Linked DNA regions of Macaca fascicularis. The protein of the gene in region 3 interacts with the protein of the main gene of each other region in a biochemical or structural test. Links are inferred from orthologs where the notes say so. Each region holds a gene or a part of one and is shown on either strand. Other genes may lie near its edges.

Region 1 (3,649 bases), on a different chromosome or scaffold from region 3:
ACATGGTGAAAGCAGGAGAGAGAGAGAGGGTGAGAGGAGGTCTCACACACTTTTAAATGACTGAACCCCATGAGAACTCACTGACTGTCTCAAAGACAGCACTAAGCCAGGAGGGATCCGCCCGCATGATCCAAACATCTCTCACCAGGCCCCACCTCCAGCATTGAGAATTACAATTCAACATAAGACTTGGATGGAGATATATCCAAACTCTATCACCATCATAGGCTATAAAGATGTACCAGGCCACCTGCCTCAATTACAGAGGAAGCTCTGACCTTGGGATCATTAATGTGAGGCGAGAATTGGACTGAGGAAAAGTTAGAGACTATTTTAGACAGCTGTGTGGTATGGAGAATGGTATAAGTAAATATAGTGGGAATTGATGTCTTTTATTGAGCACTTACTATGTTCCAGGTATTGTAATGGGTACCTGATATACCTAGGCGTTGTAATAGGTGTCTGATAAATATTTTCAACCACACAACAACGTTATGAAGGAGAATTTTTTATCCTCATTTTACAGATGAGAAAATTGGGAATTAGGTTAAATAACTGGTAGACCTGAGATTTGAACCAGCTGTTAAGACTCCAGACTCAGGTTGTGAAGCAAAGTGGATTTTTGACAGGAATAGAGTGGTTGTGTGTGTGTGTGTGCGCGCGCATGTGTGGGCACACATTATGTGTAGGAAGGGCAGTGGGCAGAATGTGGGGTTGGAAGGAAGGGTTTTGTGGAGTGGGGTGGTGAAGATATTTGGAGTATGAGTTGGGCCCAACCCACGAAAGTCCTGGAATTCCAGATTGAGGATAACTTGTTTCTTGTCTTGTCTACTTCTTCCATATTTATATAAAGGAGGGAGAAACATACAACAGTTTTGGTTTATTTAGATTCTCTTATGGAAATTTTGGGAGTTGAATTAACAGCAGGGTGGTGAAATGACAAAAGCATAGCCTGGAGAGTTAGAAGAGACCTCATTGCTGGAATAGCTTTTAGCAAGCCCCTTTTTCTCTCCCCTCCCTTGTCCTCGGTGAAAACAGAGTGCAGAGCCTAAAGTTTTCTGTTTTTGCTTTTTGTCTTTTTGGTAGCCCAAGAGTTTAACTTCATATATTAAGGTGATAATGGAATGTATCATTTGTCTTCCTATATTTAATCTGAGAGAGTACAAAAAAGGGGCTATGGCTTGGTAGTAGATCAGGTGGAGGTGCAAGAGTTGGATGTTCAAGCTCCTCAGCACCTCTTGCTGGTCCTGAGATGCCTCTTGCTGGCGAGAGGGTTGTTGCTTCTAGCTTCTACCCTGTTCTTGTTTAGTAAATATAAATGTCAATAAATAAGTATACAATGCACATACTTTTCTAAACCTCTGTGCAGTTGTATTTAGATGAAAAATCCAGATTCTGAGCCACATTATGTCATCATTTACCTTAAGCATGGCTAGGCTATTCGGATGCTAAGAAATTCATGCATATCTGTATTGGAGGGCCATTTAGAGCTTGAGGCCCTGCTCTGGCTGTCTCTCAGCACAAAACGCTGGTTTTTGGGACCATTCTAGATGGCTATGACTGTGAACAGTGCACATGCACGTGTATGTATACAGGTATGGCCTGCTGTTCCTGACACCGCATGTGAATGTTAGGGGCTCTGCTTCTGCCAACCCCTCTGCCCTGCAGACCTACTCAGAACTGGATGCCCAACAAGCTTTAGAAGAGAAAGTAAAGCGTTCTAACTGTGAACAGGGAAGCCAGCTTGCTTTCAGGGTTCAGAGTAACAGCCCAGAGGATCCAGCCCAAGCACAGACACCTGATGTAGCACCTGCTCTTTGGGTCTGTTCTTTGGATCTGATACGTGTCCTCAATAAAATGTTTCAGTAAAGAGTGCTTTTTTCTTTCTTTCTTTTTATCAGAATGGTATAACTTGGAGAGTTACAATATCTTTTCATGGTCATTTTCATACTAACCTTTACTAATAGGAAAGAAGGAACTAATGTAAATCCTGATATTTTATGAAAATACTTCCAGTGGTGCTTACATATGAAATTATTAATAAACTTTCAGCTTACATTTTTATTGCCTAATATGTATGCAAACATACTTTACTTGAAGTTGAGGATGCGTGTGGTGGCCCACACCTTTAATCCCAACATTTTGGGAGGCTAAGGCGGGAAGATCACCTGAACACAGGAGTTCAAGACCAGCCTGGGAAACATAGAAAGACCCTGTCTCTACAAGAAAAAAAAGAAAAGAAAAATTAGCCGTGCATGATGGTGCACACTAGTAGTCCCAGCTACCCTGCAGGCTCAGGCAGATCACTTGAGCCTGGGAGGTTGAGGCTGTTTTTGCGCCACTGCACTTCAGCCTGGGCAACATAGTGAGATCCTGTCTCGAAAAAAAAAAAAGAAAAAGAAAAAAGAAATACTAATGTTGAGATGCTTTTCTATCATTTTCTTGCCATGAGCTTACTTAATTATACCAGTATTTCTAGAGAAGAGAGGGGAAAGTGAACATTTCATTTGAGACTAATCTGTTTTTATGATTTGTTTAATATGCTAACATTGATGTCTTTCTATTAAGTTCAAGTTCACTGCTGACAGGATTTTACAACTACTGAAGTATTTTTTGTTTTACCTTAGAATTCACATGAAAATTTCATGAACTTTAACATTTGGTTGGGAATTTAACTTTGTTGTCAGACTATTTCTAGGAGGTAGGTCACTAATTGCATGTTTTTAAAACAATTTAGTGTCAGGTTAATTGAGATAGTATTTAATTATATCAAAACATTTGCTTATTTTCTGAGTTTGTTTTTTTTTTTATGATATTGGAAATAAATGAGGCTGACTTTTTTCCTTTTTCTTTTCAAGATTTTCAGCTGAACTCTCATCTCTCAACACTGGCAAATATTCATAAGATCTACCACACCCTTAATAAGCTGGTAAGTCATTCTTTTAAAGACAAAATTACCAACTGTTTGAAGTAGTCATTTTGTGTAAGAGTATTTGATAAAAATTTAGATTCTAGATACTAGGATATCAGTTTATGAGAATGCTAACGGTGTGTGATTTGTTGGTAATAACGAACATATTTCTTTCAGAACCTAACAGAAGACATTGGCCAAGACGATCACCAAACAGGTATCTGTAAATGCTAACACTACTTAATTTTAAATAACTTCTTAATGTAAAATTAAGAAAGAGAAATACTAGCTATGAATGTGCTGTATTGTCATAATGTACTCCATTAACAAGTTGTTCCTTGGCTGAGGTTGTTTTTCAGGGAGTAATGAAGGCAGCCATGTTATAGCTTCTTCCCAGTAGGAAATCTCTTGTGGAAGCACTTTTTAATGCCTTTAAAGAGGCTCGAGATTCTCTTGAATAATTGTTTCAAGATACCATTTTTTCTCTACTGCAGTATTTTCATTTATACTAAAAAGGTGCTACAGTAATGCAGTTTGGAAGGTATTCCACAAATATTTGAGAAATTGAGCTGAAAAATGATTTAATGTGTGTGTATGTATGTGTTTATAGTTACTGAGGATTTAGGAATCGGAAAATTGAAGCTTGATTAGTGTAAGGTGTCCTCTAAGTCTGTGGTTCTCAGAGTTTAACTGGCATTATAATCACCTGCGGGGAGGCCTTGTTTAAAGTACAGATGT
Region 2 (3,749 bases), on a different chromosome or scaffold from region 3:
ATTGTGCCACTGCGCTCCAGCCTGGGCGACAGGGCGAGACTGTCTCAAAAAAAAGACTTGGGTGGGACAGAGGTCAGGCTGGGAGGAGGGCACAGCCAGGCTCAGGCTCAGCTTGGGGTGGGGGCTCCGTGGGGCTGGCGCCTCTCCCGGGTCAGGTGCTGAGCCGATGCTGGCTGGGGGGAGCCTCTTTCCCAGTTTCTCTGGGGGGCAGGAGCACCTTGCCAACCTCTGATGGCTCCAGCACCTGCACCCGCCTCACACCACATGGTGACTTCAACGGGGGACCAGGAAAGCCCTCGCCCCCTCCCGCCCTCAGAGCCCTCCCCGACCTCGCCCACTTCTCAGAGCTCCCGCTGTCGGGGGAACCGAGGCAGCGCCGCGCCTGGAAGCCGGGTCTGCACACCCCGCCTCGCTCCCGCTCCTCCCCTCCGCGAGGCCAGCGCGCCCCAGGACAGACTCAGCGCCCGTCCCCTGTATAGACGGGGAAACGGAGGCGCGGACGCGGGGTCGCGCCGGGGGAACCGGCCCTGCCCCTCCGGCCCCGGTCAGGACCTCGCCCCGCGCCCCGTTCACCGCCCGCAGCCCCGCCCCACGCCGGGACGTCACAAAACGACCCCAAAGCTGGGGGACCGGGCCAGCCACGGCCAGAGCAGCCCTGCCCGCCTCCGTGCGCACAGCGTCCGCGGTACTGGTCGAGCTGGGGGCGACGGCGGCGGCCTCGGGGATCGGAAGCGCCCAGGGTTGCGCGCTCGAACCCTCCCTCCCGGCGGCGGCGCTCGGCGCGGTAGGCGGAACCGGGACCGGGACTCCACTTCCCGGCGTGCCCCGCGGGCGGGCGCGCAGGCGCAGGTCGGGCCTGGCCGCGGCGCGCAGGCGCAGTCGGGGCCGGGCGGAGCGCGCAGGCGCAGCGGGGGGCGGGGCGCGCGGGCCGGGCCAAGGCGAGCGCTGGTGGGGCGGCGGCGCCAGAGCTGGTGGAGCGCTCGGGGTCCCCGGGCGGCGGCGGCGGCGCAGAGGAGGAGGCAGGCGGCGGCCCCGGCGGCTCCCCCCCGGACGGCGCGCGGCCCGGCCCGTCTCGCGAGCTCGCGGTGGTCGCGCGGCCCCGCGCGGCGCCGACCCCGGGCCCCTCCGCCGCCGCCATGGCCCGGCCGCTAGTGCCCAGCTCGCAGAAGGCGCTGCTGCTGGAGCTCAAGGGGCTGCAGGAAGAGCCGGTCGAGGGCTTCCGCGTGACCCTGGTGGACGAGGGCGACCTGTACAACTGGGAGGTGGCCATCTTCGGACCCCCCAACACCTACTACGAGGGCGGCTACTTCAAGGTGAGCGCGGCGACCCCCGCCCGGGTCCCTGAGCCCACGAGCGACCTCGGGCGCCAGGAACCAGCTCCCTGCCCCGCGGTCCCCGGGCGGGCCCGGCAGCCTCCTGGCTTGGGCTCGCTTCCCTTCTATGGCCGGGTCTCCCCACCCAGCTGTGCCCGGCCCCCTCCTCGGACGGTCCCGGGGACCTTCAGCCTCTGCTGCGGTCCCCGAGAATTCTCAGTTTCCTTGAAGGCACCGTCCGGTCCCCGGGTAGTCTCCTGGCCCGCAGAAGGGTGGCCCGGGGCCCTCCCGGTATCATCTGCGCGTGGGGCTCTTGCCCACCTCCTTCCTGGGGGGGGCTCGACCCCGGCTGCCTCCCCCTCCGCCCTTGCGAGAAAGAGGGAGCGGAGCCCAGGCCGCCCCGGCCTTTCTGCTGCCCTCCCCGCCCTCCCCGGAGGAGACAAAGAGGCCCCCCCCAGACCCCGCAGCTGCTATTGTTGGGGAGCTGGGCCTGTGAGCGGGGGAGCGAGGCCAGCCTGGGGGTGGCTGGCGCGGCCACTCGCTCAGGCTCCAACAAAGGCCCGGATGAGCCTTGGCAGCCGGGCCCTGCCTGGAAAGCGGCCACCCTTGCCGATAGCAGCCGGCCAGGCGCCCTGGGCTCCATCCCCGGGTTTATGTAACCTGCGCCCTCGGGAAGGCTGAGGCAGGGGCGTCCCTCCCACCTGCTCCCTGCAGCTCTCCCCGGGCCCCCGGCTCCGGCCCGCGTCCCGGACCCCGACCTCAGAAGCTCCGGGCTGCTTCATCCCAGCTGGCCTTGGCCTTTCTCAGATTCCACTGAACAGGTGGCTTCCTGTGACCCCAACCCCGAGTTCTGGGCCATTCCTTCTGCCCTCTGGCGGTTTCATTCCAAGCAGGTTCTTGATGTTTTTGTTGCCGTTGGGAGCAGGGAGACTGTTTCTGTCCAGTGTGGAAAGGACTCAGGCCAAAGCCTGGCCAGTTTTCTTGATCTCACGATCCAGACGTGACCTTTGGCTCTTGTAGAGTTCCAGGACCTCGTCCTTGGGGCCAGAGGGACAAAGTGAGGGGCCCCGTGTGAGAGGTGGGGATCGCGCACCCTGTCCAGGAATCCCCCCTCCCGCTGTCGCTGCCTGCCAAGAGCCTGGGCACAGCCGGGCCTGCTCTGCCCCGGCCAGCTGCGGGCATGGGGCCGAGGGACCGATGCCTCTCAGAGCGTGTGCTCTCCGGGCTAATTAATGTCTGAACCGCGCGCGCTCAGCGGCTGTGAGGGCAGCAGCCTGGTCTGCTGGGGGCGATTCCTGAGCTGAGGTTCTGGGTTACGGCAGAGGGTGGGACGTCCGTGGGTTGTGCATCTGGAATCGTGGGTCCCCACACAGGGAACAGAGTTTGAGCCTTGAGGTTGTCAAATGGTTTTAGCAGCCCCCTCCCCCAGCCCCTTTTTTCTGCTTGGGGGAGCAGCTGGCTGTGAGCAGGGGCGGCCCCACCTCGAGGCCAGGCCTGTGAGGCGGCTGCTGTTCTGGAAGGAAGGGATGCGGGTTCCTGGCTCCTGCCCACCAGACCGGTTGCCAGGGATTGTGGGCAGAGCCTCCTGGACCAGCATTAGGGGATAATCCGGTTTTCCGGATTTCCTGGGGAGGGGGCCTCTAGACATCTGCCGCAGGGTCAGTCCTCAGAGGCCAGCGTTGAGACGCGGGGGGGTGCTGCCACCCACCGGGGCTCTCCCTTCCCCGTGTGCCTGGGAGGGAGTTGGGGGAGCGTGGAAATACAGGAGCTGCTGAGTGCCCAGGGCCACCGCTGCTGCCCAGCCACTGCCTGCAGCCGCTGTTCCTTCAGGAGCCAGAGCGAGCCCTGGGGCAGGGGCCACCAGAGAGAGCCCTCCACGGCGGACTTGCCGTGTGCCATCGGCGGGGGCTTTGCTTCTCGGAGCCTGGGTTTGCTCCGGGTAAAAGACATGTTTGGAGGTGCTGAAAATAAGAGGTTTGTTGGGACTTGGTGGGGTTCGGTGCAGGTGAGGCCGCCTGGAAACCCAGCACCAGGCTTGGGGGGCCCGGAGTCTTGGGGAACTGCTGGGCAGTTCTGAGCCTGAAGTTCCAGCCTTGCTCTGTGGCTGTGGCCAAGTCCCTTACCTCATGGGGCCCCAGTGAGTTCCCTGTCAAACAGAGGACACCCCCAAGACCCCTGAGAGCCCTCCCTGTCCAGGAAGGACCTCGCCAACAACTGCTCTTTGGGGGTGCTGCCCTCAGCCTCTTGGAGTGCTGAGTGCCACCAGGACCCCTGACCCAGACACCCCCGTGCCTGGCACTGGGGCCCAGGAAGGAAACAGTGAGGCTTCCTTGTTTACCTGTTGGGGCCCAGGAGGGCCGTGGGTGGCGTCACGCCCCAGGCCGCAGGCCAGACAGCTCTGTCACCGGGCACGTGGCTGCAGTCCTTCCTCTGTGG
Region 3 (3,345 bases):
AAATGCATACTGGATCAGGCTTCAAAGAGAACAGCTGTGAAGTGCCATTTTATGTGGCTCAAGCAGAGAAGCCAGGAGAGGGGGCCTATCTCCACGGAGCTCAAGAAACACAGGAGAAGCAAGGCATAGAAGCAGGCCATGCCACAGTAATAGGATCTCCTCATAGCTTTTCAAAGACAAAATACAATCTATATATTTATGTATTAGCCTGGAGGAAAATGGAATCTTGACCATTTTAGGTTTCAAAGTGAATCGCAATTAATATTTGTCTCCCCCATGGGGAATTACGTTTCTGGAGAGGGTCTAATGTCTTATATTATCTTCACATCCTGCACCAGCCCAAGGACTGCACACGGAAGGCAATCAGGAAGCATGAGTGATAGTAACAGTCTATCCTAGACCAAAGCAACAATCACTGCTAAGTTAAAAGAATGAAGAGCCGAGGTCCCCTCCTCACACTGGCCTGTTAGGACCTCACTCCACACCCACTAGATCACAATCTGCATTTGAACAAGATGCCCAGGTGGCTCATTTGCATATAAAAGTTTAAGAAGCATTCTCTACTGACAAGTTTTCTTTGAAACAAATGAGCTGTAGGCCACGCTCGGTGGCTCACACCTGTAATCCCAGCACGTTGGGAGGCGGGCGGATCATGAGGTCAGGAGATGGAGACCATCCTGGCTAACACGGCGAAACCCTGTCTCTACTAAAAATACAAAAAGAAAATTAGCCGGGCGTGGTGACAGGCGCCTGTAGTCCCAGCTACTCGGGAGCCTGAGGCAGGAGAATGGCGTGAACCTGGGAGGCAGAACTTGCAGTGAGCCGAGATCACACCACTGCACTCCAGCCTGGGTGAGAGAGTGAGACTCCGTCTCAGGAAAAAAAAAAAAAAGCTGTAGAACTTTCCCTTATTTTACAAATGAAAAATATGAAATTTTATTACTTCTCAATGTGGGAATTTTCGGAGAGAATGTAAAGTTACACATTCTAGTGGTTTAAGAGCAAATACAACAAAACCATACTCTTTTCCTTAGAAAAAACTAAAAAACAAGTAGAGATTTCTGTTTGATTGTAAGGTTAATAAATGCCAACAACAAACCAGAAAAGACATACCCCACTATTAAGTTTGCTGTGCAATGTTTTGCACAATCTCAGTGTAAACACTTGTAAAGTCCAATGCTTAAATGTTTCCCCCTCAAAAAAACTTGACATTAAAAACACTTACTTGTGGTGTGTCTTTCTGCATTGATGTAGTAATTTTAAATTTTGTTCGTTTACTGCTAAAGTTCATATTTAATGAAAATGAAGATTCTGCATCAATATCTTCCTACATTTAAAAATAAAACATTTATATTTACAAAAACCAAAATCTTATAAATAAGAGCTTGCTGCAAGCAATTCCACTAAATGAATGACCAAGCAAAAAAGTCTCCACTCTTATAACTTTTATATTATAGATTACCAAATTTAAGAGAAAAATAATTCTTTTGTTCAAACAAACAGGAAAAACCCAATTTTATTTTCTACTTTTACATCTGCCAGAATCTTAAGCAGTTTATATTTGGCAATAAGATATTTGCTGGTCCTACTATTACATACACACTACTTTTTGATAAAAGAGTCAAGCTCATTGCCTAGAGTTTGACATTTTAATTTTTATGAAACACCAAAGTTCATAACTTTTCCATCACCCCATTCTGAAAAACCAACCAAATTTTTTTTACAAATGCTGCAATAACAAAATACCCACTGTAAATGACCTGATGGCAGGAGAAAGCTGTGCCTCCAGTAGCACACAGCATCAATTTGCCGTGACCTGGGGTGATGGTGAAAACGTTTACTTCAATCCATCTTTTATTCACTCTTCAAGAAGCAAGTGGCCTTTGCTCAGAGGAAAACTGTTAAGCCAATTTTTAGAATAACAACTTCCATATCAGGCTTAAGAAAGCCACTGATATCACAGGGTGGAATTTCTCTGGCAGAAGGATCAAAAGGCATTTGGAAGATGAACTAATTCTCAATAATAATCTAATACATTCTGCTAAGGAATGGACGGATTCATAATTAAATTAAAAGGCCAGGCATGGTGGCTCACGCCTATAATCTCACCACTTTGGGAGGCTGAGGTGGGCAGAGTGCTTGAGCTCAGGAGTTCAAGACCAGCCTGGCCAATACAGCAAAATCCGGTCTCTACTAAAAATTTAAAAATTAGCCTGGCATAGTGGCTCACACCTGTGGTCCCAGCTACTTGGAAGGCTGAGGCGGGATTATCACTTGAGCCCAGGAGGTGGGGGTTGCAGTGAGCTGAGATGGCACCACTGCACTCCAACCTGGGTGGTACAATGAGATCTCACCTTAAAAACAAATAAAAAATAATATAAAATAAAATTTAAAGTGCAAACAAGGAATCTATGTTTACTTTGTCAATTTCTGGGCAGCATGTTTTAGAAAAAAAATATAAAACCTTCAAGCATTTACTAGCCTAAAATTAAAAACCATAATTAATTAACCTTAAGAAATCCCTATTTTGGCCAGGCACGGTGGTCACACTTGTAATCCCAGCACTTTGGGAGGCCAAGACGGGTGGATCACCTGAGGTCAGGAGTTCCAGACCAGCCTGACCAGCCTGGCCAACATTGTGAAACCCTATCTCCACTAAAAATACAAAAGTAGCTGGGCATGGTGGCATGTCCCAGCTACTCAGGAAGCTGAGACAGGAGAATCATTTGAACCCAGAAGGTGGAGGCTGCAGTGAGCCGAGATCACGCCATTACACTCCAGTCTGGGCAACAAGAGTGGAACACCGTCTCAAAAAAAAAAAAAAAAAAGAAATTCCGTATTTTGCTAAGATTCTGATGCCAGAAAAATCATTTCTCAAAATTATGAAAACATTGATTTGAATTTCAGAATATATGCCTTTTACAGTTGTTCAATTGTAGACTATAAAATGTCATCATCATCTTCGGGATGTCAGCAAAATGAATTGATGAGAGAAATAAACCGTAGGCTATTAACTTTACCAAAATAAAAACAAAACATTATTTATAGAAATTTTTTTCTTACAAGCACAATAATTTGAAGGAGATATAATCCCACCTCTGTTGCATTTTTAACTATTTAAACATCTAGGATATACTATGAAAACAAAACAATGAAATCTTGTAACTAGAAAAAAAGTTACAGAGAAAAAAAGTAATATACTAATGGCTTGTTATTCTTGTGACAGGCATCAAAAATATATGGTGGTTAAAAACAGATGATAGTTAATTGAGTGCTGACATTAAGAACACTTGGAATGGAGTTACACATATTAAATATGTGTACAAATAGACGTCAACAGGCTGT

The links.
Region 1: of the proteins of CUL2 (region 3) and DCUN1D4, one has a biochemical effect on the other in vitro, tested with the Homo sapiens proteins (2 studies listed by BioGRID, with this or other methods). The link is inferred for Macaca fascicularis from reciprocal best matches to the Homo sapiens genes CUL2 and DCUN1D4.
Region 2: the proteins of CUL2 (region 3) and CDC34 form a complex in vitro, tested with the Homo sapiens proteins (2 studies listed by BioGRID). The link is inferred for Macaca fascicularis from reciprocal best matches to the Homo sapiens genes CUL2 and CDC34.

The regions. Positions count from the first base shown.
Region 1 is NC_088379.1:82,041,749-82,045,397, reverse strand, and holds part of DCUN1D4 (DCN1-like protein 4), read left to right. Parts: intron 1-2,858; coding exon 2,859-2,929; intron 2,930-3,088; coding exon 3,089-3,128; intron 3,129-3,649. UniProt on the Homo sapiens protein: Contributes to the neddylation of all cullins by transferring NEDD8 from N-terminally acetylated NEDD8-conjugating E2s enzyme to different cullin C-terminal domain-RBX complexes which are necessary for the activation of cullin-RING E3 ubiquitin ligases (CRLs).
Region 2 is NC_088393.1:1,084,908-1,088,656, forward strand, and holds the start of CDC34 (ubiquitin-conjugating enzyme E2 R1), read left to right. Parts: upstream 1-964; 5' UTR 965-1,136; coding exon 1,137-1,313; intron 1,314-3,749. UniProt on the Homo sapiens protein: E2 ubiquitin-conjugating enzyme that accepts ubiquitin from an E1 ubiquitin-activating protein, and catalyzes its covalent attachment to other proteins by an E3 ubiquitin-protein ligase complex. In vitro catalyzes 'Lys-48'-linked polyubiquitination.
Region 3 is NC_088383.1:35,782,091-35,785,435, forward strand, and holds part of CUL2 (cullin-2), read right to left. Parts: intron 1,328-3,345; coding exon 1,226-1,327; intron 1-1,225.